Tamandua tetradactyla: one gene and its partner. The protein of the gene in region 1 interacts with the protein of each later gene in a biochemical or structural test. Links are inferred from orthologs where the notes say so. Each region holds a gene or a part of one and is shown in the gene's direction. Other genes may lie near its edges. The genes, in order: CDH1 and CTNND1.

Region 1 (14,815 bases):
CCTCCCCATTACATGGGACATGTCTCCCAGGAATGTAAGTCTCCCTGACAATGTGGGACACGACTCCCAGGGATGAGCTTGGCTCTGGCATCATGGGATTAACTATACCTTCTTGACCAAAAGGGGGAAAAGAAACAAAACAAAATAAGGTTTCAGTGGATAAGAGGTTTCAAATAGAGTCAAGAGGTCGTTCTGGAGGTTTCTCTTATGTAATCTTCAATCAGATATTGAAAATTGTCACAGTATGCTAAGTCCCAACCAACAGTATTCTTGAAAACTCTAATGAATACCCTGGGATCTATCTAAGACTCTATAGAAGTTTTACTTATTTAGGTTATTTTTTCCAGAAACTTAAAATCTCCAGGTTGTTCCTGTCCCAGATGAGCCCTGAAACCCAGAGGTATCAGTCTCTCCAAGAACATTAACCAGCTGCATTTCTCTATCCCATAATGTCAACACCCCTTTCAGCATGAAGAAGTTAGAATGGTCATTGCCCACATACCCCCTGAAGATTGAGAGATTGATAAAACTAGAGGGAGAGTTGTAACAGAGAAGTTAGGATTTAACAAGTGATTTTCACTACTGAATCATTACATAGATATTTCTTTTTAGAATAGCTAGAAGGAAATACCTGAAATTGTTGAACCGTAACCCAGTAGCCTTGATCTTTGATAACAATTGTATAACTACATAGCTTTTATCATGTGACCATGTGCGCTGGTTTGAAACTATTATGTACCCCAGAAAAGCCATGTTCTTTTAAATCTAATCCAATTTTATGGATTGTATTAGATGTATTGTTTGGGTGAGACTTTTTGATTAGGTTGTTTCCATGGAGATGGAACCCACCCAATTGTAGATGGGACCTTTTGATCAGATGGAGATGTGACCCTGTCCATTCAAAGTGGTTCTTAATTCATTTATTGGAGTCCTTAAGAGTGTGGGCACAAGAAATGACAGAAGCCTCAGAGCCTACAGAGAAATGACAGAGCTGACAGAAACTTCAAAGCAGAGCTGACAGGCAGGGAAAAGAGACATGGATATTTGGAGATGCTTGGAGCCCAGCAGATGTTGCCATGAGATGTTGAGCGAGCCAGAACCTGGAGAGAGCCAATGGAAGCCAAGAGATGAGAGCCCGCCCTGGAGAAGCAAACTGAGGAACCCCCCCAGGAACAGAGGCTGAAAGCAATGGGGCTCAGGAGCAAGGGATCAGCAAGCTGCCACGTGCCTTTCCCAGCTGACAGAGGTGTTCCAGATGCATTGGCCTTTCTTGGATTAAGAGGAGCCCACATGTCCATCCCCTTCTGCTGTTTCTGATACTGAAGACCAGGAACTGGCCAACTCCAAAACCCAGGAAGAACAACTCTTCCAATATACTTAGGACACAGGCTGCTACTGTGGTCAGAGAGCTCTTCCATACTGACTCTGGGTGTCTGGACAGTGTGATGTGCCTTGGTCAATGAAAACTAGCAAAGAGGACACAAGAAGAGGCTGGTCCTTTGGAATCCTTCTGGAATGTTCATTCTTGGAGCCCAGGGCCACCATGTAAAGAGACTACATTGAAAAGCCCACGTGGAGAGAGATGCTTATCAGCAAACAGCTCTTCCAGCTACCCTAGCTGGGACACCAGATGTGTGAATGAAAGATCTCGGAATTTCCAGCCCCAGCCAGTACCAGGTGGAACAGAATAACCACCCAGCTGAGCACGGCTCAGACTGCAGAAAAGTGAGAAATCATAATTTGTTATTGTTTTAAGCCACCAAGTTTGGGGATGGTTTATATTGCAGCAGTAGATAATAGAAACCATTTCTTAATGATTAATGAGAGGAATTCTAGTCAAATGACTATGACTTTGGGAAACAGGTAGACTTCAATTCAAATCTCATACTGCCTTTTACTGGGGTGTTACATCGGGTTCCTTATTGCTTGTTCACCTCCCCAACCCTAGCATCCATTCCTTTCCCTTCTACGGAAGCTAGCTCTAGCATAGCACTAAAGGTAGAGCAAGTGACCTAGGAAAAGCCAATTCCAACAGCCTGATCACAAAATAATTATTTGGGGTTAGGTTTGTGACCTAGCCTAGTCCTATCAGAATGGATCTCAGGATTTTTACTGATGACATGAATAATATCTCTTGTTTGGAAGTCAGCCTGAGAATGAAGACCAACACAGAGATTTGGGCAGGTCAAACAGAATGAAACCACAGAGAAAAGCAGCTTGAACCTTGATCAAAATGTTGCTGAAGCTAGGACCTACTTTGGACTTTTCAGTTACATGAGGCAACAAATGGGCCTTATTGTTTGAATTAGTTCAAGTTAAGTGTCGCATGCAACCTTAAAAACATCATATTGAGTGAAATGAGACAGACACAAAAGGACATATATTGTATGATTCCATTTATTTGAAATATTTAGAATATGCAAATTCATAGACAGAATGTAGATCGTAGGTAACCAAGAGCCGAGGGGATCGGGAAGGGGGAGGTGATGATTAATGAATAAAGAGTTTTTATTTGGAATGATGGAAAAGTTTTGGCAAGGGATAGTGGTAAAGGTGGCACAACAGTGTGAATGCAATTAATCCACTGAGTTGTATACTTGAATGTGATTAATATGGGAGCTTCTATGTTGTATGCATGTTACCACAATAAAAAATCTCTGTGAACATGGAGAGCTAAGAGCCAAAGATACCTGGAGAGCTGATACTGAGAGCAGATCCCTAGACACAGACATTTGAAGATACTGAAGGAACACTTGCCAGGGAAAGCCAGAAAGACCCACAGGAGCTGAGAGAGCCATTTGAAATCAAAAGCCGGGGGGAGAAGGACAGCAGACATTGCCATGTGCCTTGCCATGTGACAGAGAAACCCTGGACATGATCAGCCTGTCTTGAGTGACGGTATCCTCTTGTTAATGTCTTAATTTGGGCATTTTCATGGCCTTAGAACTGTAAATTGTAACGTAATAAATCCCCTTTGAAAAAGCCGATCCATTTCCGGTACATCACATTCTTGCAGTTTTAGCAAACTGAAACACTGTGTGATTGTATAAACCTCGTGACTAATATCCCCTTTATCTAGTGTATGGCTAGATAGGTAATAAAATAAAGACATGCATGAGGAAGAAATAAAGACATGCATGTCCTGACCTTTAGCAGTTAAACATGGAGATGAAGAGGATTTGGAGGCCAGTGGGCCTGGCTTCCAAATTCCAGCTCTGTCATTTTTACTCTGTAAACTGGGCAAATTTCTTTATCTCTCAGCCTCTGCTTCCAAATTTGAAAAAAGGATCTAGTGACAGCACTCAAAGAGCCATAGGAGCATTGATGAAATAATGCATATAAAGTAAGGTTTGAGTTACAATAAATGGTAGCGATTCTATCATACAATTTAATGCAATTATTGGCATTTAGTACAATACCTGGCACACAGTAGGCATTCAATAAATATTTAATAAATAAATGGATGAATGTTTATTGGTCTGCACCCCCCACTACCTTATGTACTTTCTGAGGGCAGGGACCATATTTTATTTCTATGTTCCCAGTTTCAAATACAGTGCCTGGTGCATGGGGGTACTTGATAAATGTTTATTTGCCTAAATGAGATAATGGATTTGAGCGGTCATCATGCATGGTGCTAAAGCCAGGAGGTGAAAGGATGATGGGGAAATTGATAATGGTGTCAGCTGATTCCCAGCATCCTGAAAGTGAGTCGACCAGACAATTGTGTGTGTCCTGATACGATGCCATGGGAAACACCCACAAACTTATGAAATATTTTGCCTGGAAATTGAATCTACATTAAATCAAGCCTCTAAAGCTGAGTAACAGTTTACTGAAATATGGGACATACAGATAGAGGAACATGTTAAATGACACTGTGAGGATGCATTCTAAATGCAAATGCAGGACATTCTATGGGACAAGTGGCCAGGTTTCTTAAAAGAAAAATTAATGCTATTGAAAAAGTATGATGTCCAAATAAAATTTGGAATGATGTCTAAACAAAAGCTTTTTAAAACATGGGTATGTTAAATATCTTTACGGTGCTGATGGTCTCACAGCATATGTATATGTCGAAACTCATCAAATGGTACCGTTAAATATAAACAATTATACCTCAATAAAGCTGCACTAAAAAGGATGGGAAGACTGTTACAGGTAAAGAGAGACTTAGGACACAAAACTGCCAAATGCAATGTGTGGCTATATTTTGGATCCTGATTAAAATAAGTTGTAAAAAGAAAAAAATAAATATTTTAAAAGGCGTTTTAAAAATATGGCCTAGCCATTAGACACTGTTGAAGAATTATTGTTAATTTTATTAGGTGCTATTACCTAACAGCATGATGGTTATGTGGAAAGAAACTTCTTCCTCAATTATAGATGCATAGTGAAATAGTCACAGGGGAAATGGCATGTTAACTGGGGTTTGCACTACAAAATCCTACAAAAATAAATATTAAAAAGGAGGAGAGATGAAACAAGACACGGTACAATCCGAAAGTTAACAAATCACAAAACTATAAAAAAAAAACAAAACCACAAAAGATCCTGGTTGAAGCTGGATGATGGAGGCATTCATCACACGGTACAAAGTAGAGATTATTTTCTTTACTTTTGTGTTTGAAATAAAAATGTTTTGTGCGGAAGTGAATGGCCGGCTGCAAAGGGCGGTACCCCTATCGGTTACCACCATTTTCACAGAAAGCTGAAGTGGGGTGTCCAGTTCCCTCCCCCGCGTGCTTGGCCGGCAGCCCGGCCCGGCAGAGACGGCAGGAACCTCCTGGAGCTTTTAAAACGGAGCCTCCTCTACCGGTGAGGTCGGGAGCCCCCGTGGCCTGGGTGCAATCCTCCGTCCGCAGCGGGCTGGGGTGCGGCTGCTCTCAGCCGAGGCCCGGAGAGGCGCTTCTCTCCCAACCTAAGCTCCGTATTTACGGTCCCTTCGCCGGCCCGGCCCGGCAGCACTGAGATGAAAGGGACAGTTCCGCCTGGGGAATTAATCATTAGCTTTCCTTCCTCGAATGAACAGACCAGTCTCCCCAAACCCAGGAAATGAAAGTCCAGCCAAGCGGTATGCCCAACTAGGAAGGAGAAGGCTTGTCATTCCATGGTGCATGCTCGCTTTGCAGTGGCTGGTGTCACCTACCTGGAGTGATCTAGAGAGCACCGACCAGGACTCTCGTCAACATTTCTTTTCCCAGTCCATGCCAGGAATTTCACCTTTAGTACTAAACGGGCCCTCAGGGATCTCAACCCCTGGATTGCAATTTGATCTGCCTCCAATTGAGAAGGTAATGAAAGCAATAGGCAGTGCCACCTGCACTGACAGGTTCGCATACAATCTCAAGGCTTTCATGGCACACATACACACGTTACCCCCTCCTCTGGCTACCCCCTCCCCACCAGAAACCATGGATTAACACCAGGCTAAACCCTGCATAGAATTTACCAGATCTAGAACTTTCATTCCTTTGAAACAAGCAAGGTCATTCCCCAGAGTCCTCTTTAAAATGTAAATGAGCATGGGAGGGACAAAATGGCTAGCCATCCAGTGGAAAGAGGTTTTCCTAGCAAATGGGAGATAGATCCTAGGAGCCTTTAATATACTGGGGGTTGGAGGAAGCAGAGTTTGAGGATGAAGAGGCTCCCAATTTTACCTTCAGCTGGGATAGGAATGTGTCAGGCAAAGAGTGCGCATAGCTAACTAACAGAGCACTTAGAATCACCTTGCGAATTGTGTGATGTCAATAACCTTGTGAATTAAGTGATATCAACATTTTTATGGATGAGGAAATCCAGACTTGGAGAGATAAAGTGACTTATCCAACCCAGCTAGTCGCAGAGCTGGAATTTGAACTCTCAGTCAAACTGAGAGCAAAGGCCGCCCACAGCATGGCTTGCCGGCTCTCTAAACCCGCTCATCTGATCCTTACAACTAGCTATTAATGTCCTTGTTTGATTAAAGAGGAAATGGAGGCAATTCACAGTGTTGCCCAAAGTCACACCTTGCCATCCACACAGGGAACCCCGCACGTTCCCTCCTCACCCTGGACAGCTGATGGGGGACGGCTCTTCACGACCCACCCTTGGGATCTTGGAGAAGGATTCAGACTTGCCAAGAAGTCTGATGAGAGCATCAGGCCCAACCTGTCCTCGCTGCCCCTAATTGTTTTCTAAGATCCTTTTTATTGAATTATCAGTGTGTAATGGAAGAGTCGATGAGCACTGCCACGGAACTACAAGGCCAGGGCTTGCTGGGTGGAAGAGAGCAAAGCCCTAAAGGCTCCCCGGGCCGAGCGATGGTATAAAATATGCATTTTTACATAACTGGGAGAAAAAAATAAACTGACAAGGCTGCCCCATGGGGGAAACGCCTCTTTCTGTATTTCCATTATCTTGTTTAATGCACAATCCGGGCAGGAGCCTCGGTGGGAAAGGAAATACTGGAGCCTTTTTGCTCCGAGCCTCCTGGTGGGTTGAGAGGCAGAGAGAGCCAAGATGCAGCAATCCAAATGGCCTGGGTGTGTGCTCAGAAACCCATTAAAACTGAGGGGACTGTGGGGTAGAGGAGCTGTAGCTTTAGGTGAAGAATTCCAAGCATGGCTTTCCCAAGGAGGAAGGGAAAGAGGTGGGTAGGCTTTTCAAGAGAACAACCTCTACACCAACCACATATTGAGCAGTTACTACTATGTATGTGCCAAGTACTCAGTTTAGTGATTTAGCTGTTCATTTCAATACGTTTATACAGGTGAACACAATGACTTGCCCAAGGTCACATGGCTAGGGCGCAGTGAACATACTGTTTTGTAGTTCTGACCCAAGCTTGCAGGATGGAGGGAAAGGAGGTGCTCTTCCCAAGTAGCCAAACCATGGCCACAGAAAAGGGAAGTTGTCCGACCTAACGTTAATCCTGTCTATTCTTTTTGCAATCCTAAAATTGTCTGGGAACAGAATTTTCAAGAGAAGGTGGTGGTGGCTGTGGTTTCTGTTAAGAGCCACAGTCTGGAAATGAGATCTTGGGTTTTAGTCTCAGCTTTAACATGATGTTAGGGAAGTTACTTGCAAATAACAGGTTTGGGTGATCTCTAAAGGGATCTCCTCCAGGTCAACATTAAAGGATGGTTTGAAAACTGCAGCTCCAGCTGGAAGACTGCCTGGCTTCCCAAGAGGGAAAGCATAATAGTTCAATGCAAGGGCCCTGAAGGTGGGTTCTGGTCCTCTGCCTTCTCTTACTGGCCTCCTTAACCTCTTTATACCTCAGTTGCCCCATCTATCAAATGGGAACAGTGACACTGTCCTTGGGGTGCTTTGAGAAGGGATCAAATGAGATGGTCAACTTCAGTCAAATGCTTAGCACAGTCCGTTCAATGCCTAGTACTATTATTATCTCTCACAGCCATGCATGGCTTTTATCTTACAGGAAACAGTGGCCTTATTAATTGCATGGGAAACTCGCAACAACCTAGGGGGGGACTTTGGTGACCATTATTCTCATTTGGAAGGTGGAGAAACTGAGGCTGGGAGAAGCGTTCCTGACCTAATGAATCCATTTGGTAACTCATTAACCGATAGAGACCTGCAGGTAACAAAACAGTACTAAATAAGAGGCAAGGTCTTTTCAAACTCCAGTCACCCACGGCGGGACTGGGATTCGAACTCTCTAGGAATCAGAGCCGTGCAGCCCCGAGTCCCTGCTGACCCTCCAACCTCCAACCTCACAGCGACTGGTGACCCTGTCAGCGCGGGGCCGAGGGGCGGGGCGGTGGCGGGACTGTGGGCGGGCTGCCCGCCCCCTGCCCGCCTGTGGAAGCTGTAGCCCGCGCCGCGCCGCTCATTGGCTGCAGCCGAGGCAGGTGCGTCTTCAGCCAATCAGCGGCGCCAGGGGCGGAGGCCTCGGGGCTCACCTGGCGGCGGCAGCGCTGTCGGCCTCAGTGGCGTCCCGAGCCGCGGACTACCTGTGAGCCTGATAAGTACTGTTAGACTCCAGCCCGGCCCAGCCCGGCCCAGCCCGACTCCACCTGACCCCGCTCGGCACCCGCCCGGCCCACCATGGGCGCTCCGCGCTGCAGCCTTTTCGCGCTCCTGCTGCTGCTTCAGGTACGTCGGTTCCCCTCGCTGTGAGGGGACACCTTCCAGTCCCCCGACCCGCTCCCAGGCCCCGCGTCCCCTCCTCTCTCCTGTCATCGACTTCCCCCTTTTCCGAGAAAGTTTGGGTCCCCTGCAGCAGAACGGCCTGGAAGCTGCTCGGCGCTCTGGACTCGGCGGAGGAGGGAGTGCGTGAGGGTGAGGGAGGCTTTGCCCGCCTCCTCCCGCATTTATCCGCGGCGGGGGGCGCCCCGAGCTGCCCGCGCTCCAGGGCCGGGAGTAGGTATGGGCTTGGGGCAGGCAGTTGGAGCATGGAGCATGGTGGGGCTCGGGATGCCGAAAAGGGGGAGCCCCGGTGCGAGTAAAAGAGAAGCCAGGAGTAGTGAGGCGAATCGCCGAGGTAAGGAAAGGGAGGTTCAGAGAAATAAAGGCACCTCCCGGGTGAAGAAAGGGGAGCCCATTAGGAGTGGGGCGCCCTGGGATAAGGATAGTGGGGTCAAGAAGGCTTGGGGCGCCTCCTGTGTGAGAACCTGGACTTTGGATTGGCGGCGTTTCCCGGTATAAGGAAAGTGGTGTCGGGAAGAGTCAAGACGCCTCCGGTGAAATGAAAAAGCATGAAAGAGACCGGAAGAAAGAGGGGACTAGGTCGTGAGGAGGTGACCCAGCGCGCCCCTTCTCCCCCTTTTCTCGAGTTCCCGGAGACTTGGCCGCTGCAGGTTTCGGGGAGCGAGAGGATGACGCCGCTGCCGGGGGTGGGGTGGGGGTGGGGTTGGAGGTGTCCTTGCACAATCCCGACGCCTCGAGCGAGGGAGGGGCGGCGCTGTGGGTTTCGGTGGGGGCAGGAGGGGACCCCCTCCAAGTAACCCCGGTCCTACACCTCTCCTCCCCTCCCCCAGGTCTCATCGAGGCTCTGCGAGGAGCCGGAGCCCTGCCGTCCTGGCTTTGGTGCGGAGAGCTACACGTTCCCGGTGCCCCGGCGGCACCTGGAGAGAGGCCGCGTCCTGGGCAGAGGTGGGGACGCGCATTACCGTGATTGACCTCTGCGGTTGGGGGGGTGGGGGGCACTTATTAGAGGTCTTCAATATGTGTCTCATACTGTCCTGACAACTTTAGAGATGGCCTGTCATTTCGGGAGGGAAAAGCCCGCTGGGAGGTGGGGGGTATTCCGAGCAGATCAAGGCTTGGAGGGGAGAGTCCACTGGCTCACGGTCAGCAAAACTGGGCTCTGACTCCCAGACATAGTTCTGCTCCATCTCTGGGATGACCGAGGAACCCTCACTTGGTTACTGGGGCTGTGGCTTTTGCTCATAGAGATGAAATCATTTCCATGCAGGTACCTCAAGGAATAATGGTTTTTGAAAAAAAAGTTCGGTGGCTGTGACTCAGGATGAAAATACACACAAACGCCCAATGCCCTTCTAGACCTTATCACTGTGATAGCCTGGTTTCTAGAGTTTGCTTTGTTCCAATTCACCCTTGCCCAGGGGTGGGAGCCAGGGAAGGATTGGTTTCTTTTCTAGTTTCACTGATTCCTAGGTGCTTATTTCTTATCAAACGTCTTTCTCCTCCCTCATGATCTTAGTTAACTGTGGGAGTATCATAACAGTAAAGAAAAGCCTTTTAGAAAGAGGAGCCACCACATTTCCCCTCAGGCATCCACTGTGTTTATTCTTCCAGTCCTTGACCAAGTGAAAAATATGATGCAGCAATCTTTTTTTTTTTAACTTTTTAAAAATTTTTTTATTAATTAAAAAAAATTACAAGAAAGAAACACAAACATTCTTGACATATGCTCATTCCATTCTACATATATAATCAGTAATTCACAATATCATCACAGTTGCTTATTCATCATCATGATCATTTCTTAGAACATCTGTGATTCAGCAATCTTAATTTTTTTTTTTGGACCTTTGGAAGTTGTCCCACAGCGGGTGGCATTTTCCCCCAGAGAAACTGAGGCTCAATTGATTAAACATATTTACCGAACCCCAGCTTTGTTGTGTGGAGCTTCTTTTTGGGTCAGAAAGAAAATGTTGTCTCACTGATATTGCGGCGGCTTGACCAATTTCTCAGTTCTTGCCTGTGCTGGGCACCAGGGAGTGGATAGAAAAGAGGCAGGAATGGGGACACTCGAGCCTTGGTCTCAGTATTTCATATTGTAGCAGGTTCCTGAGAATGTCCTAAGGCCTCCTTAGGACACTGGGACATGGGAAGTTAGGTGCCAAAGGGTGTGGGCAGCCTGGAGTATTTTGGTGGAGTCAATGGACAATGAAGACGTGCTTCTGGGAGGAGGCAGACTTTGCCCAGGCTTGAAGAGTGGGGCAGGTGTGTTTGGGGGGGGATGAACTGTGGATGGACACTGTTGGTGGTCTGTTTTCCTGTACCAAGACAATTGAGCACACTTGGTAGCTTCAAGGGTGGGTTGTTCTGTTACTACCCAACTCATAGTTTCTACCTCCCAAACTCATAGTTTCTGGCCAATAATAGCATTACATGTTAATAATTATTATCATTGTTGTTAGTAGCAGCTCCTGGTTTTCACTTTTGAACTACACTCTGGGGCAAGTGCTTTACATTTTACCTCATTTAGTCTTCACAACAGCCATCTGAGGGAGCTCAGACATTCAGTAATCTGCTCATGGAACCACAGTTGGGCTTTCTCCTGTCCTTTTTCTCTTCAGTCATTTCAAACAAAGGAAGCTGTTTGGGGAAATCCTGTGAAGAAGACTATCTGTGCCCTGGAGAACAGAGGTGCCGACGGGTGGGACCTGGGTGGGACCCCTTAGAGGAGATGGTGGTGGTAGAGATGGATCAGACCAGGTGGGAGGCAGAGGGCAGGGCTGTGGCTGGTGGCTTTTGCGGGAGAGGCAGCTTCAGCCAGTCCTTCACAGGCTTTTTGTGTGATTTGTTCCTCTTCCCTTTATAGCCACAGACCCCACCCCTACTCGACAGATCTCCTGATTTAACTTTTTGTTTGGCCTGTTTGCACCATAGGGTCTCCTTATTGAATCAATGAAGGATGGAAGTGTCTTTTGGAAAACGACACAGTTGACCTTAGGGACTAGCTTTGTGATTTAACAAGGCAGCCAGGGTTTGGGAAGGTGGTCTTGCTCTCACTGGACAGTCCAGGATAATGGAGGTCTAAGAGATTAGCACCAGGTTTTAACATTGGCTTTGGGGAGAATTTGCTGCATGGGAGCTGGAGAATATGGAACCTTTCATTTTTTTCCTCCTTGGGTGACTGTAGAGCATCGGTTTTGACCCAATTCAGGGGTCCTCAGGGCGTTTTGCTGGGGTCACTCCTGTGCCCTAGGGAATGGCTGATCTCACCATCTCAGCCTATTTATTCCATTGGTTTCTCTCCAGGTTCTAGAATGAAGAACATTAAAAAAAAAAAAAAAAAAACAACAAACCAAATGAGTTATTCAGAGCTTGTGATTAGTGTTTTCCTTTTCTTTAGGACTTTGGTTTGAGAAACGCAGTCTGTTAAGACAGTTTGAAATTTTAGCAGTATTAGCCTAGTGAATACAGCTTTAAGTTGAGTGGGGGTAGAGGTGGGGAGTATTGGGAACTGGACACAAGAAAAGCAGGCAGGCTTTTGATCCAATCCTTTCCTTGCTTTGCTTCCCCTACAGTCTGGCCTTGGACAAACAGGGCCTGTGTTTTGGGTTTGAGCTTCAGCTGCTTGATAAGTAACTAACTAACTCACAGGCACCCACATGTGTAGATTAAATACACCCATTTCCCCTCCTTTCTAAAAGATGTGATGAAAGGGTGGCAGAAGCAGTATCCAGGGCCTCTAATTAAACTGGGCTTAAAAAACAAATACAAAAAACCTGTTTGGGGATCGCCTTACATCATCAGATGTTTCCCCACCCTTCAGATTCTTAAGCATCACTTCCCCAATTACTCAGGTCTGTGCCAGGGGTGGATGCAGCCCTTACTAGGAAAGACTCATTGGCTGCCTTTCTGCCCCTGCCTTTGTGTCTCACCAAGAGCGGAGGCGGGAAAAGTCCTGGTCCTGGGCCCCCGCAGCCATTTAAGGAAAGCTGGATGCAGCTCCTTCCCCTTGGGGACTGCTGGACCTGCCCACCTTTCTTTGCCAGGTGGCTGTGGAACTCCCTGTCTCCTCTCCAGGGCTTTTCATTGGGTGAGCCTTTAGGAAGGAAAGGCTCACCTTGGTGTCTGTTACACTCTCTCTTCCAAGCGGAGCCCCAGATAAGGCAGACGCTGAAGTAATCGGCTCTCCCATCTCCCAGAAGCTGCCAAAAGCCTAAAATCCCCAAGAGGCAGCTGTCACAATTCAGACTCGACCTTTCTGGGTTTCTGTTCTGCCTTAACCCCCATCTCTCAGGACATTAGGCTTTCCAGGGAGTCGGAATGGGATCAGTAGGCTTGCTTAGTATAGTTCATTGAATAATAAAGTCTGTGAAAGATTCAGACTTGACTTTGTGCTACAAAATACATGACCTTGAATAAGTCACTTTATTTCTCTGAGCCTTAGTTTCCCCATCCATAAAATGGGGGAATAATAATATTTATGAGCTTGCTATGAGAATCAGATATGCATGTTCATTCATTTATTCAACAAATATGAATGTCTAATCAGATATGCATGTTCATTCATTTATTCAACAAATATGAATGTCTATTTTGTACCAGTGCTGGCTAGACCCTGGGATACAGTAATGAATGAAGGAAATAATGACAGAACAGAAATGTATAAAGATGAAAAGTCATTAAATGGTGGCTAATAATTTTTAGGGTTATAGTAGGCACTCATTTTGAAGAAATGAACGGATGGATGAATAGTCACTACCCCTCAGACCTTGGCTTTATTTTTTGCTCTCAAACACTCTGGCCTGGGGCCAGCCCTTGAGGTTGACTGTATGCGCAGCAAAGAGTTTGGTCTGTGCCCAGTTGCTCTTACAGCCAAGCTCGCAGCACTAAGTATCCTGGGAATACTGTATACTGAATGTTCAAACCTGAATCGAAATGGAGGAAAGGGGCTGTTAGTAATTTTTAAGTGTTTTTCAGTTTTAGTCTTGTGGTGGCGCCTTTTCTTTTTTTCTTTCTTCCCCCCCACCTCCCGCCTTTTTAAAATTTTAAACTCCTCCTTTATAAACCCAGCTTATGCTTATTACTACTGGAAGAGCTTTCCGCACTTTTTCTTTTCTCTTTCCCTCTCTCTTGTTTATCTCCAATCCCCACTTCTACCCAAGACCCTGGTGGCATCGCCCCCCAGATTTAGAAGGTTCTTCTGTCAAATTGCCTATATTTAAATCCAGGTAACATCCCTTGCTAATCAAGCCTTGGCTTCCCCATCTGTAAAGTGAACATAATAGTACTTATTTCATAGGATATGTGTCAGGTGCTTAATGAATATTAAATATGAGCTCCCATAGTTATGAGACCCCCACCCCCACACTAGAGGACTTGGAAGTTTCTTTTTTGAGACTCTCCCGGTGTTTTACCTTTGGTTCAGATGTTTCCCTGTGCTCCCTCCCACACGGCAAACCAGCCAAACCAGTTTCCTCACACTCTCTGCTTCTGTGTTAAGCAAACTCTGCTCTGCAAACAGTGACTCCACCAGAGTGCTTTTTGTTAGGAAAGGAAATTCTGTGGTGTTTTCTTGCTTGTCACTAAGCAGTTGGCTTGGGGTGGGCTGAAGGAGGTTCCCCTTGGGGGGTAAGAAAAGGGGAACCTGCTCAGGAATATCATTTAGAATTGATGCCGGAAGAGTAAGGCCAGCAGCAGCTGGGGGTGGGAAAGCAGGATGCCCCCCCCCTTTTTTAAAAAAAAGTATTTCATAATACAGATACCTGAAGATACCTCTGTTCTTCAGATGCCAAAAGTGCTGTGTCCCACCCCCTGAGACCATGGTTCACCCACATGGCTGAGCACATTACATCACTTCAAATACATTTTCTGTTGTAAATCCACTGAGCTAGGGTCTCTTAACAAGGGGTGGGATTCTAGACAGCATTTTTAAAAGCTCCCTAGGTGTCTGCTGCCACCCCATTGATTCATTGCCCTGGACAAGCCCATGGGTTGTATTTACACCAGATGAGTAAATATCTGGTGCCAGCCAGGGTGTGGGCTATCCAGTGACCAGCCTGGAGGCCACAGATCAAAAGGTACCCTCAATCAGGAAGGGATAAGGCTGGGCCTCACTCGGTCTTGCCAGCCAGTGAGCGAGAGCTCTGTGGGTGCGAAGGGGAGTGGGCAGGAGTGGGAGCAGCAGGGGACCCCAGAGAATCAGCAAGTGCACAGAACTTTCCCTTATGTGCGCCCAGTGTTGGGGGTGCCAACTTGATTAAGGCCCAGCCCTTGCCCTCAAATGGATTCCAGAAAATTTCTGAGAGACCCCCCCCTAAGTGGAGAATATCAGCACAGTCTGAGAATGCTGCTAGGGTGGGAAAATGTTCCAGGGTGCAAGGAGCAGCCAGCTTGAGCCAGGCTACCTCAGGGCCTTAGGTCTTGGTGTTTGTTCTTTGGTCCAATAACAGTAATGGAGAGTTTTCTCTTTCTGTTCTTTTAGTAGGCAAATCTTGGCATCCCTGTTTTTTTTTTATGTACATTTTTGCATATATACAAATACGTGTGTGTGTTAGGGAATACAATGAAAGTTTTCTTCCCACCCTTGTACATTCTTCACTCAGTTCTTCCCCAGGGCACAGGTAGCTATTTCTTCACAGGTAACTAATTTTTATTAGTCTCTTCT
Region 2 (14,815 bases), on another chromosome or scaffold:
GGAGAAGAGAAAGCTAGCAGATGTTGCCATGTGCCCTCCCAGCTGAGAGAGAAACCTGAACTTCAATGACCCTTTCTTTGGAGTTAAGCCATTTTTCCCCTGATGCCTTAATTTGGATATTTTCATGGCCTTAGAATGGTAAACTTGCAATTTAATAAATTCCCCCCCCCCTTTTTTTTGGGTGCATGGTCTGGGAATCGAACCCGGGTCTCCCACATGAAAGGCGGGCATCCTAACCACTAAACTACCATGCACCCTAAATTCCCTTTTTTAAAGCCATTCTGTTTGCGGTAAATTGCATTCGGCAGCTTGCAAACTAGAACAAATTGTAACAAAATAAGGTATCAGTGGGCCTGCCCCATGAGGCTCGCCAAGTGAGTGAACAAGAACAAGAACGCGGCTGGAGTACTGGATTTGCTGAAGGAGGTTAAGAATATTCCCAGGACTCTGGAATTATTGCAGTCCAAGAGAATAGGAATGTCAGTTAATGCTATTCACAAGCAGAATACAGATGAAGAAGTTACATCCTTAGCAAAGTCTCTCCTCAAATCCTGGGAAAAATTACTAGATGGACTGTCAACTGATATAGGCTCTGAAGAAAAGAAAAAAAAACCTCCCATGACATTGCAGAACAGCCCTGATGCAAGATAAGAAAGTAGCTCCAGTGGCAGCATAAGCAGCAGAAAGGATGAGACAAATGTTTGAGATACTCACATTTTATCTTTTCCTCGGGCACCAAGCACTTCTGATTTTGCACAATTAAAGTGTAGAGAGATGCTTGCTGCAGCTCTCCAAACAGGAGATGACTACATTGCTATTGGAGCTGATAAGGAAGAATTAAGATCTCAAATTGAGGAAGCTATATATCAAGAAATAAGGAATACCGACATGAGATACAAAAATAGAGTACAAAGTAGGATATCTAATCTTAAGGATGCAAAGAATCCAAATTTAGGGAAAAATGTACTGTGTGGGAATATTTCTCCTGACTTATTTGCTAGAATGACAGCAGAGGAAATGGCTAGTTATGAGCTCAAAGAGATGCAGAAATACATGACCGAAGAAACCATCAGAGAGCATCAAATGGCCAAAACGGGTGGAACCCAGACTAACTTGTTCACATGTGGCAAATGTAAAAACAACTGTACTTACATTCAGGTATAAACCCATAGTGCTGATGAACTAATGACAACATTTGTTGTCTGTAAGAAATGTGGAAATCGATGGAAGTTCTGCTGAGTTGGGAGAATTGGCAAGATGTCTGGACTATTAAGAAAATGGATTTTGTAATTAGCTTTAAAACTCTGCCAAGCAACTAGTTTTCTGACAAATCAGATTTTTAAAGCAGCATACATCCCTTGGGTTAGTCTATTTTTTGACATAACATCCGTTCCTTAAATGCCTTCTGTTTCAGACAGCAGTAGGGAGACCATATAATAATTGTATGGTATCTGTTTCAGAATACTTTTTTCATTTTTATAAGTAAGTTGATATTAAACTTTTATCAGTTAAACTGTTGGCACTCCATTTTTTCTTTTCTTCTTAAAGGAAAATGTACCTCACCTTTTTTACAGTATGAAACATTACACTAAAAATGCTATTCTTTTCTGTTTATACGTAAATGGAAATTACATTATTTCCATTTTGGCATGTACCTGCAAATATCAGAGAAGAAGAAAAGGTAATATAATTTTAGGTTTATCAAATATGATGTGTATTCAAATAATACTTGACCAGCTTATCTGAATTGTATATATATTTGAATCAGCATATGAATTTGATTTTAATTGCAGTGTTCTCAAGTATGGGATAATTAGATATTTTGCAATTGTAACTAACCATGATCATAGTTTCTTGTAATTTCTTGTACATGTACTTGTTCGTAATAGATTTTACTTTTGGAAACATGACTTTACCTTGTTGAAATCAGTTGGGTTTTGTTGTTTGTTTGCCTGTTTCATTTTGTAATTGATTTTAGTTTTGCAGAAGAATGCTGTCATAGTTTAGTATGTTTTTTTCATAAATGCCAGCATAGGCAAAGAATGAAAGCTTTCGACCATTTTTGTCCTTCATAGGAAGACATGCTGGGAGGAAAATGTTAGCATTTTATTATAAAGTAGTTAATGTAAACAGTTCAAGACTTGACTTTGATTTGGAAATCCACACTGACCTAGGAGTAAGCTTAAGGATTGTATAAGCTATTAAAGCTGTGGTCTTTCCATATGGAGGTTGAAGGTAAATATTTTTGTCCTGAGTTTTATTTGTTGATTTTCTCTGTTACATGTTGTATGAGGTTGAACAGACTGGGTATGGGCTGCAATGCAAGCTGTCTTATATACAGCTCTGGCAGTTAAATTGTACTTTTTGTTGTGGGGTGTACATTTGTTCTATCAGGTTCTGTGATTGTGCACTTGCTCTGGTGCCTCTGAAAGGCCACTGTTACAAAGGCTACATGTTATCCCACTCAATGTGCATTCTGTCAGATGCTGCTAAAGAGACCTGAGTCCATGCCTGATACTCCCCTCCACTCCCCCTTTTTTCCCCATGTCTTATTGCAAATCAGTTTGATATAATACAGAAAACAATATTTAAACATCCATGTTAAGACCCATACTTGTAAAATTTGGCCCCCTGCCACCAGCCCATTTTTACTTTGTGAGTTCAAAGTAATCTACTGCATTGTTACTTAAAAAATAAAGTGCATTTTTGGAAAGAATGAGTTTAAGAAAGGAGTAAAATTACTCCCACTTTTAAATTAAGTCATTCATTTTTAAATTTGTAATTCAATACAGTTTCTTGTTGTTTTAAAAAAAAGTTAGCTGAGAGAGCTTAAATAGAGTCAAGAGGCTATTCTGGAGCCTACTCTTATATAAGCTTCGGCTAGATATTGCTATTTACTATGGTTTGCAAACCTCAACCAAAACCATTCATGCCAATCCTAAAAGAACGCCTAGGGCTCTGAGACTCTATAAAAATTCCATGCACTATGATTACTTTCTACTAATCTACAACCTCAAGAGGGGTTCCTAGGCCAGATAAATCCTGAAACCCAGAGGGGTCAGCCTCTCTGGAACATCAATTAGCTCCATCCCCATCCCATATTATCAACTGCCCTTTCCAACATGAAAAAGTTAGAATGGGCATAGTCTAAAAACCCCTAAAGACTGGGAAAAAGATCAAAGGAGAAGGAGAAGTTAGAGAAAATAGGAGTTAACAAATAAGTATGACTGCTGAATCATTATATTGATACTCCTTTTAGTCTCCATTGTCAACAGCTAGAAGGAAAAACCTAAAATTGTCAAACTGTAACCCATACCAACTCTGAAATCTGTTCTATAACTGCTTGTTATAATGTACTTTGAAATTTATTGCTTTTTTGTATATGTTAAATTTAACAATTAAAAAAGAGAATTAAATGAGATACTATACCATATGTACTCTGTAAACTGTAGAGCGCTACACAATGCTGATTGCCATAATCTTATTATAAATAAAGAAACTGAGTCCCAGATGAAGTTACTTGCCCGCTTGTCACTTACTGAATAACAAAACTAAATAATTAAACTCAACTTGAGCCTTGTACATTATACTGGGTTCCACCTCATCTGATTAAATATTTCAAGTATTTAGAGAAGAGGTGGAAATAAGCTATAAATTTTTTAGTTCTAACAACAACAAAAATCACTGATTTGAAGGCAAGAAAAAAATTAAATTAAGCAACAGCTTAGTGAGAAAATGGAAAATATATAATAGTTTCATCTAACAATTAAACCATGTTTAGCACATTCAAAAAGCCCTGTTTTAAGTGCTTTATATATGTTAACTCTTAATCTTCACAACCATCACTTTAGGATATTACTATCCACGTTTTATAGAATTTCTCGCTTACGAAACTCTATAATTAGTTTTGTTTTACAAGGCTGAAAAGTACAGTCACAATTTCTCTCTTGAAAACAGTAACTGTCCTAAAAACAGTTCTTTACTAAGTAGCTTATAGTGCTCAAAGATGGTAATAACTATGGTAGCAACTAAAAGAATAAAATATCTAGGAATAAAGTTAAACAAGGATGTAAAGGACTTGTATTCAGAAAGCTACAAATTATTACTGAAGGAAATTAAAGAAGACCTAAGTAAATGAAAGATATAGTGACAGAAGACTTAATAGGTTAAGATGCTAAAAACACCCAAAGTGATCTACAGATTTAATGCAATGCCTGTCAAAATTCCAAAGGCCTTCTTCACAGAAATTGACAAGCTAATAGTCAAATTTATACAGAAGGGAAAGGGACCTGAAGAGTAAAAAACATCCCGAAAAAGAAGAACAAAGTTGAAGGACTCATACTTTCCAATTTCAAATTTATTACAAAGCTAGAGTAACCCAAACTGTGTGGTACTGGCATGAGGACAAACATAAAGACCAATGGAAAATAAGTGAGAGTTCAGAAATAAACCCACACATCTATGGCAAATTTGTTCAAGGCAGACAAGGTTACTCAATGGGGAATGAAAAATTTCTCCAAAATGGTGCTGGGGAAACTGGATATCCATGTGCAAAAGAATGAAAGTGGACTTCTACCTCACACAACATACAAAAATTAATTCAACAAGGATCAAAGATCTAAATATATGAGTTAAAAACTATAAAATTCTTAGACAAAAACACAGGGAAAGATCTTCAAAACCTTGTCTTAGGCAATAAATTCTTAGACTTTACATGGAAAGCAAAAGCAACATCAAAAAAATGTTTTTAAAACATTAAAATTAAAAACTTTTTGTGCATTAAAGGACATTATCAAGAGAGTGAAAGGACATCATCAAAAAAGTGAAATGACAACCAACAGAATGGGAGAAACTATTTGGAAACCAGAAATCTCATCAGGGTTTGATATCCAGAATATATAAAGAACTCCTACAATTCAAGAAAGACAAACATTTAAAAATGGGTAAAGTACATGAATAGACATTTCTCCAAAGAAGATATACAAATGGTTAATTAGCACATGAAAAGAGGCTGAACATGATTAGCCATTAGGGAAATAGAGTGAGATGCCATTTCATACCTACTAGAATGGCTGTTATTAAAAATACTGAAAGTAAGTGCTGGTGAGGATGTGGAGAAATAGAAACCTTAGTACACTGTTGGTAGGAATGTAAAATGGTGTAGTTGCTGTGGAAAATAATGTGGTGGTTCCTCAAAAAGTTAAATACAGAACGACTCTGTGACCCCAGCAATCACACTTCTAGATGTATACCTAAAAGTATTGAAAACAGGGGCTTGAACAGATATTTAAACACTGATATTGACAGCAGCAATATTCACAATAGCCAAAAGATAGAATCAACCCAAACGTCCATTAGCAGATGAATGAACAAAACGTGGTATAGGCTATTAGCCTTAAAAAAGGAAGGGCGTTCTGATATATGCTACTATATGGATGAACCTTGAAGACATCATGCTGAGTGAAATAAATCGGACACAAAGGAAGAGATATTGTATGTAACCACTTAAATGAAAGAGCAAAAATATGCAAAATCATAGAGACAGAAAGTAGACTATAGGTTATGGTGGGGGTGAGAGAATGGGGAGTTAAGGCATAATAGGTACAGGATTTCTTTAGGGTAATGGGAAAGTTATGGTAATGGTTGGTGGTGAGGGTAGTGCAACCTTGCGAATGTGATTAATCCCACTGAATGATATGCTTGGGAGCTGTTGATATGAGAAAGTTCATGTTATATTTGTTTCCGTAAGAGAGAGAGAGACTAAAGAGACAATGGCAATTAAATTCAATACATGCTCCTGAACTGGATCTAATAATGGAGGAGAAAAGGCCCAAAAGGACATTATTGGGACAAAGAAAAAAACTGGAATATACACTGTAAACTTTATATCAATGTTAAATTTCTTGAACTTGTTAACTTCAGGTGGTTGGTAATATCCTCGTTCTTAGAAAATGACATGAAGTATTATGTATTTAAGGAGAATGATGTATACAACCCTCTTTCAAATGTTTAGAAAATAAAATATATAGATATAGATATATAGATAGCTAAATAGATTGATGGAGAGATGGACTGACAGCCACTGTGGCAAAATGTTAAAACTGGTGGTTCTTGGTATTCTGGATGGGATATGTTGGAGTTCTCCGTATGGCTTTTTTTTTTTTTTAAACATGGGTAGGCACCTGGAACTGAACTGGGTCTCCGGCATGGCAGGCAAGCTCTGTCACTGAGCCACTGTTGCCTACCCTCTCTGTATTACTTTGGAACTGTCCTGTTAGGTTTGAAATTATTTCAAAATAAAAATTTAAGAAAAAAAAATCTGGTAATAACATGTTTTCCCTCTCATCCCCTAGTCCTAAACTCATTTAACCTTATTTAAGTTTCCAATTGAGTCCCCACCAGTCTCTTACCTTCTGCCTGCAGAAGGACATCACAGAACACACCACTCTGTTGCTGGTGATGAAGCTGCAGAAAAGCTAGTCGGAGGAACCGTGGGTTCCTGTATAGGATTTTGGGACTGGCAGGAGAATACATGTTTGTAGTCTCTTAACAAACCTTCTATGTTTTCACAGATAAGATTCCTGTGGTGAGATAATATATTTTAGAGGCATGTTTATACCTTTTGTCTTTGAAATGGCAGGGAAATACAGAAAGTGAGAGATAACATGAGTGAGTGAAAAAATCCCAGAAGTTGTGCCAATGATATCTTAAGAAGGCAGAATATCATCATAATGGTTACATATAGGAGCTCAGAGATAAGCTTAGGTTTGAATCTTGGCTCTGTTATTTACTAGGCTAGCTGTACAATCCCAGGCAAATAGCCTAACTTCTCAGAGTTTCACTTTTCTCATCTATAAAATAAGAATAAGAGTACTTATGTCATAGGGCTGTTTTAAAGGTTAAATGAGCCAATGCATGTAAAATTGCTTAGCACAGTACATGCCGGGCACATGACTATTACCCAAGAAAGGTAACTTTTATTATCATTATTATTATTATCTTTTAACCTTCCTCATTCATATTACCATTGGAAATCAACCCTACTCATATTCTTCTGGAGCACAATAGTTCCATGGGTATAATCTTTAGATGAACCACTTCTGAAGAAACAGTATTGGGTATAAAATTATTTCTAGGGAGTCACACATCTTCTTGTCTCTAATCACGTTAACCAGCAGAGGGTGCACAGAAAAGAAGAGAAGCCTTGCTGGACGTGGTGGAAGGTCTCCCACAGAAATAAGAACACTGGCTACTCTTGGCTCAGAGGTTCCTGAACACAGTGAACCCAAATGACACTGGAAACTGGCAAATAATTTGGCCTTAAGGTTCCTTAGTGGTGAATTAACTATCCTGGGGCAAGGATAGTTAAGCTTCCTATCCCTCCCCAAACAAACTGCAAATCCTGACTTCAGGATTCCTACTTTTCCAGCTGGTTGCACTGAAATTCCCACACTCACTGCACAGCTGTGTCCCTTTACTGGCATGCAGTTTTCTGTCAGGTGGCACCGAGGGTTCTAATGCTTCAGGTCAGAACTGTCAGGAAAGAAAAGAGTGGACAGGAAAGGATAGGGCAACTCGGATCAGAGCCAACTGATCAGAGCCAACTGGATCAAAGCCAACTGATCTGGCAGCTATCCCAAGGACCCAAACCTAGGCCCTGGGGAAGCTTTCCAGCCCACGGACAAACGGCTTTGTCCCCAGGCCTAACCTGGAATCGATCTGCAGTAGGAGTTACTCTTGCCGTTTTCTCTGTGCTTGGGTCCTCTGTCCAGCCTGCCCTGCTGCCTCCCAAAGTCCAGCCTCTCCGCAGAAAGGTTTAGCAAAGCATCACAGGTAGGCCGACGGCCGGGGCAGTGCCCCTCCACCTCCAGAACCAAGGGAATCGGGGTTGCCGGCACGGGGCTTCAGGAAAGGCCCTGCAAAGCTGGGCGCCCCGCACGCCCCGGGCCCAACTCCTTTGAAGACAGACCTCTCGGCGCGCGAAGGTTTCTGGGAATGGAGCGTGGGTGATCCTGGGGGCCGGGATTCAGGGCTCGCCCTCACTGCCACCTCGAGGCCACATGGGGTTTGCAGTCACTCCCTGGTGCGTTCGTACGGCCACGGGCCACGGTGCCCACATGCACCGGGCAGCGGTGACAGCTAGCGCCCGAGGCCACGCGGCGAGACCACGAGTCACGCGCCGCGCCTACCTCGCGTGAGGAGCGTCGCGGGGGACGACGTCCTCGCCCCCCCCAAGCCGGCCTACGTCTGCCTGAGTACGTCCTCCCCATTGGCTGGAGGTTCCACGGAGAGCCAATCACAGGAGGAGGAGAGCTTTGGGCGGGAGGCTAACTCTCGAGGGACTTGAGGGCTGAGGAGAGACGTATGGCCAGGGCCAGCTCGGGAGGAACCCTCAGGGAAGCCGTCGTGTTCTCTGAGTTCGAGGAGGACACCCAGGAAAGAGGGTCACAGGCCCCGAGGCGGTTGAAGGACAGCTCCCTCTTCCCCCTGGAAGAGGCTGCTATAAGGGCTGCGGGCTTCATGGAGGAAAAAGTCTTTGGTGGTCTCTCTCTCACACATCGGCCCGCATCCCTCTAGCTCAGACATTCCTTTCCCAAGGCCAGGAATGTTCTGGAACAAGGTCATTGGGCTAGTTTTGAATTCGAGTGTTTCACTGAATCTACTCCCAGCCCCGGCCCCCGGAGAACTGGTGACCAAGAGGATTGCCCGAAATTCCCTTCAGGCGTGGTTCCTCCAGAGGTGATTTGTGTAGCGCAGTGTCTGTCTGGGAATAGGTGTTTTCAGGACTGGTCCTCAAAAGGAAATGATCTCAGGATTAAGCATTTGCACGGAATGACAGGCTGCGTGCGAAAGCTCCTGGCCAGCGGTTTCCTTGTGTGAGTGAAGCTCGGGATCCTGGTCTGGGGTATCGTCCCTCGGTGCATGTCCCGTGGCGTCCAGCCCTAGATGCACATGGCCGAGTCCAAAACCCCTGGTGACAAAGCGTGGTGAGTTGCGACCGAGCAGCCGCCACCGAGGCCCAGGAAAGGAAGATGTCCAAGAGAAGGGGAACCTGGAAAAGCACAGACCAGAGAGAGGTGAGTAGTGAAGTGTGCTCAAGTAGATCTTAAGTGGATCGATATCGAATCCCTTTTGAAAAAGGATTGGGGGTGGCACACTGACATATGGGAGGGCTGAGGCGGTGGGAAGGGATATTTCTAAGTCAAGTGGTTGGTATTTTTCCCTAGTTTGAGGCTTCTGCTCTTAGGGTGGAAAAAGAAAGGAGGAACAGAAGACATTGTCGGTTGCAGTTTGGTGAGGAAGCAGTTTGTGAAAGGACATAAAACTTAGCGGAATTTAGCAGTTGTCAGCAGCACACACCCCCAAAAGAAAGGCAGAAGAACAATGCTTGTTTTTGGCCTCTGTTGCTGTCAGAATCAAAACTTGATTAGGCTGGCAGAGGATCAGTATATGTGATTCTGTGGAAGTTGTAAAGAAAATATAAATATTACATCCCCTTATGGGTATATTTCCATCACTATTAAATTAATTTTCAAGAAGTCGGGAGGAATCAGTTTTTGTTTTTATTTTGAATCTAACATCATTTTAGTGAAATCTTGTGTTGGTGGAATTTCTAAAGGGAATGATAAATGCCAGTCCTACCCAGGGCTTCCAAAATGACAAACTTTTACACATTACACATAGTAATGTGTAGCTACCAGAGGGTAGAGAGGAGTAAAACTATTTTGTTTTCCTTTACGGGGATAGCCAGTGATTTTTTGAAGTTGAATTATTTTTATCTCCACTCCTTGGCCTTTCTAGTTTTAGTTTATTTTAGAAGATACAGCACAGCACCTTGCCCTGTGTAATAACCTTAATATTCCTTTTTTTTTTTTACATGGGCAGGCACCGGGAATCGAACCCCGGTCCTTTGGCATAGCAGGCAAGCATTCTTGCCTGCTGAGCCACTGTGGCTCACCCTAATATTTCTTTTTTAAACACCTTTTTCCCACTCTCTCAGTTCTCCCCTAATTTTTCACCATCTTATGGTATCTTGTGTTTCTGTGTATGTATGTATGTAGTGATGGTGGTGCGTGGGGGAGTTAAGCTTTGAGAGTTGCAAAACCAAGCTTTGGCTGAAATATTTCGTGCATTAAAAACAAAAAACAAAACAAGAAACAGAGACAGAAAAGGAGAAAAGAAGCATCTCAAACAAAAACAGCCCTGTGTCTCTAAAACATATATCCTCAACCCATTAACTTCTCTCCTTTTTTTTTTACTTCTATCACCATAGTCCAAGACCCCAACACTGCAGTTTGACCCCTACAACAGCCTTTGTCTGCTTGCTTTTCACTGTTTGCCCACTCTTTAATCTGTTTGTCACATAAGCAGCCAGATCTTTTCAAAACGTGAGTTAGATCATGTAATTATTCTGTTTAACCCCACAGGTTTTCCTCTATTTAAGAATAAAATCCAAATTATTTACTCTGACCTATAGAACCCTTCATACTCTGATCCTCATCAATTTCTCCATCCTTGTTTCTGACAAGTTCTGCCCAACGCAGTATTTTCAGCCCCACACCTCAGGGCTTTGGCATTTGCAGTTACCATTGCTCATATCCTCTCATGGTCGGCCTCTTATCATTCAGATTTCAGTTTAAAAGTCACCTCTTCAGAGGGTTTGTCCTTCACATCCTATCTAGAGTAAGCCTCAAGGGAGTCTCATCAATCTGTTTTAAATCTCCGCATAGCATTCCATCTGACATTATCTTACTTATTTATTAATCTTCTCTCCCCATCCTAGAATGTAAGCTTTATAAGAGCAGGAAACATGTCTATCTTATTATCCTTGACATCTACACCAGGACCTGACTCACTGTGGGTAATCAAAATAATCAGATGAAACTAGTCTTTTTGTTTTCTATTAACTGAGTGTAAACAGTTTTTCCCTCAGCCAGTGAAAATTAATGCTTGTGATGCCCTAATTTGAGATAGCTGTTTCAGAGAAAATTAAAGTTTAACGTCTTTTTCACTGTTAAATTATCTGTCTTGATTTGTATATCGTTCTATTTTGAATGTTATCCACAAATTTATTAATGTTTAATGACTTGTCCAGGACTACACAGCTAGGAAGCACAGAGACTTAAGCGATTCATTCAGCTGCTGCTAAGTAGGAGGTAGAAGGCTGAGCTCTGGAGGTCTACAGTGACCAAGGAAGATACTGGCCATGTCTTCGTGGAGTTTAACTTCTGGTATGAGAGGCAGGAAAACATACAGGCACAGATGAAAGAAAAAGGAAGGCAACATACTTAAAAGTGAAGGAAATAAGACTAATCCATCCATTTCTTGAAAATCCTAGAATATTCTAGAATATGACTCTGATCTAGAAACCAGTGAATCAACAAACATTATTTGTGCTGATTGTTTCCTTTGACAGTCATCTTTGGCTTTTGGACTTGCTGTAGAGGACCAGGAGTAAATGGAGAGTGGAGGAAGAAGATGTGATAAAGCAGTGAGAAAAAAATCTTAGAGACTTAAAGGCTGTTTATTTCTTACTCTCGTTTGTTTAAAGCCACCAGACAAGTGCTCTTCCAGCACCTCTGAGAGATGTCCTTTTTGACCACTGTAAACCAAATATGAGAGTCTGTGAGACTCGAGGTCAAATCTGCGGAGGTGGATAATGACTAGATGAACCTGATTTGAAAAGTACTCCTGATTTGAGGAGTGGAATTCCAGTTTGGATATATAACGAAAGGTCAGAAGTAATGTATTTAACATATTGAGTAAAAGTGGTATCTACCTTGAAAGCAGATAAAGATTTTGGCCTTATTCTGACTGAGAACGGTATAATGTGATAGACAGAGGATGGGTTTTGGAGTTAGACTGATGAAAGACTCACTTCTTAGATAATCTTAGGCAAGCTGCTAACCTTGCTAAGTCTTGATTTCTTCATGTATAAAATGGTGGTAATAGTATCTGCATTGTCGTATTTAAGAGGTTAGAGATGAGTGCGAAGTGTCTCTAATATGATAGGATGGTTGCTACTTCTGGGCAGTGTTGAGCCATTGAATGCTTTTGAACAGAATGGTTACTGATAATAATAATAATTCATTCTTACTGTGTTTATACTATATGCCATACATTTGTTTTAAGAACTTTATGCATATTGGTTTACAGTTACTATCCTCATTTTATAGTTAAGGAAAACATGGCTCAGAGAGATTATATATAACTTTCCAAAGGTGCATGATGGTCCACTGGAGTAAGTGTACTTACAGAGCTGGGCTTTGAAGTCAGGCAGCCTGACTGCAAGCCTGTGCTATTAACCACTATTCCAGTTATGAAAACTTGGTGAAGATTCACTTGGCAGAGTTTACAGGATAGATTTTAGATTTTTCAGTAAGAAAGAAAAAGGAAATCTTTAATTTATCATTATTATCTTTGTTTAAAAATCACGGAAAGACCATAAAATACTAATCTTTGTCAAACATATAAAAAATCCAGCCCATCTCCTTCATAACAAAGAAAATATTAAGGGTATCTCTGAACCCAGGAAAAAGTACCCCTACATTCATTTATTCAGGTTAAGTGTAAAAAGAGAAAGAATGTATGAACTATATCAACTTCAGCTTGGAGTTCACAAGGAAATGAAATTTTCTTAGGGCGAGCCTTACTTTTCTTTACACAAACTGTTAACTCCTCTAAATATATTGTGTGTTTATTGCTTTCCATTTTCTCTACCCCTCAAATCCACATTATTTTGATTTGGGATTAAATGGGAAGGCAGTGATTTTCCTCAACAGCTCAGTGGATTCAGTTCTTCTCAAATTGAAACTATAGAGACTAAAAACTGTTAATAAATCGAGACGTTTATTTTTTTCTCATTAGTTCTAATGCAATTAAACCAAGAAAATGAAATTAAGTTTACCTCACAAAATCTGCACCCATCCCTAATCTCAGTGAACAAATAGTAGTCATTTCCAGAATTTCTTTCTCCTTCCTTTGCTGTCTATGAGAAAATGCTTTAGGCTAGAAAGCAACAATCCTCACACTAGCAGGCAAATAAAATAAGCTCTTTTCTGTTTCCCCACCTGGAAAAGAAGGAAGAGGGAGTGAGAACTCCACCATCTAATTGAAGGCTTGAATTCTAAAACACCCTTTTTCCCTCAGCCCCCCTGGGGCTCTGCAGTAATTCCTCGGAGATTGTATGACTCTCCACTTTAAAGATAAATATATATAAAACTTCCCCCTGTCTCTTTTTCTCCTCCTCCTCCTTTCACTCTCTCTTTTTTTTAATTTCCTATATTAAAGTTTCCTATTGGATAAGGGCAGCTCCCTGATTTATGCCTGATTCCTATTGGAAGCTCTCAGGGGCTGACATCACTTAGGAAAGCGAGGGGGTAGGGCTGCCAGATCAGTTTGTCACCACCCAGGCTTCCTTGCCTTTGGCTGGGTGCAACTTCCATTTTAGGTGTTGGATCTCAGAGAAAAAAGAGAGAGGGAGAGAGAGAAAGAAGAGCAAGAAAGGTCCTAAGAGGAGGAAGAGGTGGCGAAAAATCAACTGCTTTGCTGGATTTGTTTTTCTCAGCACATTGGCGAAGCCTTGGGTTTCTTTCTTAAAGGATTGGTTTTTAGAAGTCTGCATTTGAGGTGTGTGCCTTTTTAAAAAATGTGTGTACAGACGGGCAAAGGAGGATAAACCAGTTGAATTTTTTGTCATACGGTAACTAGAGTCTGCTATGCTGACGGGTGACTTTTAAGCAATTATTATTTCTTCTCTCTACTTTCAGTACTTTGGGGGATTTTGGCATTTTATGATATTAAAGAAAAGTAAAATATGCGAGACCTAGAAGCAAACTTCTAGGTCTTCTCAGGGAGATAAATAGATTCAGAGGATTAAGAGCAGCTCTGTAAATTTACATTTTGTGGGTTCACTGATTTTGGATTTTTTTTCTGGATTAAGCTAACATAATTCATTTTTCAGAGCCCAAACCAAAAGTTATTTTTTTGGCATGTTGCGTGTGGGCTGGGAAAGGAATTTGTCCGGGTCGGAAGCTAGTTATACAGATGGTTCTTCATATGTTTCAAAACTTTTTTTTTTCTTTTATTGTTGGATTTGTGGAAATGGAAAGTTGCAGGGAGCTTTGCAGTTTAAATGGTGGTGTTTTTCACCCCCAGCGAGTTTGAACAGCCCAAATCGGTTTCAGCGCTGCTGTTTCTGGGTGGATCCCTCTTTTACTTTTCCAGGTGCGGTAGGTGGGAGCCTCATTCTCCTGTAGCCATAGCTTCCCTGCTTTGCTTTATAAAAGAAAGCAAATGGATCCATGTTAACTGAATTGCCATTCCCTTCTTCCTCCTAAAACTACCTTTGATAGCAAAGATTTGTGGGTGTGTTGTATGTTAAATCTGCCAGTATAATAACGTTTGGTTTATTTGCTTAAAGGGATAAGGAAATTCTAATCATGCTTTTTTAGTGTACCTGAGTTAAATCGCAACACACCTGAAAATATTTTCAGCTTTATGCTTTCCAGAAGGGCAGTGGATTACATAAGGTTAGGTTAGGAGAAACCGCTTACACACTTTAGTGTTTAAAATGTATTTGAGAAAGTTCAAGGGGAATTTTAATTTTTAAACCAAACTGGAAGTTGTTTTTTGGAGGTGAGTTTTCTGTTTGGTTAATTTATCATGAAATCAGAGCTCTGTAAGAGCCAATGACTGCTTCATATCTTATATTTGATCTTAAGATTTGTTTTGTTTTGCTTTTGCAAATACATTTTTGCAAAGATACGAAATCTAGATGGCTATATAACCAACTCATCAGTAGCTGAGAACTGGT

The links.
Region 2: the proteins of CDH1 (region 1) and CTNND1 form a complex in vitro, tested with the Homo sapiens proteins (5 studies listed by BioGRID and IntAct, with this or other methods). The link is inferred for Tamandua tetradactyla from reciprocal best matches to the Homo sapiens genes CDH1 and CTNND1.

Annotation. Positions count from the first base shown.
Region 1 is NC_135342.1:62,710,560-62,725,374, forward strand, and holds the start of CDH1 (cadherin-1), read left to right. Parts: upstream 1-7,924; 5' UTR 7,925-8,052; coding exon 8,053-8,100; intron 8,101-8,532; exon of another isoform or gene 8,533-8,702; coding exon of another isoform or gene 8,703-8,744; intron 8,745-8,984; coding exon 8,985-9,099; intron 9,100-14,815.
Region 2 is NC_135335.1:19,841,537-19,856,351, reverse strand, and holds the start of CTNND1 (catenin delta-1), read left to right. Parts: upstream 1-8,355; 5' UTR 8,356-9,032; coding exon of another isoform or gene 9,033-9,077; intron 9,078-13,382; exon of another isoform or gene 13,383-13,629; intron 13,630-14,815. Other genes in the region: BTBD18 (BTB/POZ domain-containing protein 18), read right to left, coding at 6,411-6,534. UniProt on the Homo sapiens protein: Key regulator of cell-cell adhesion that associates with and regulates the cell adhesion properties of both C-, E- and N-cadherins, being critical for their surface stability.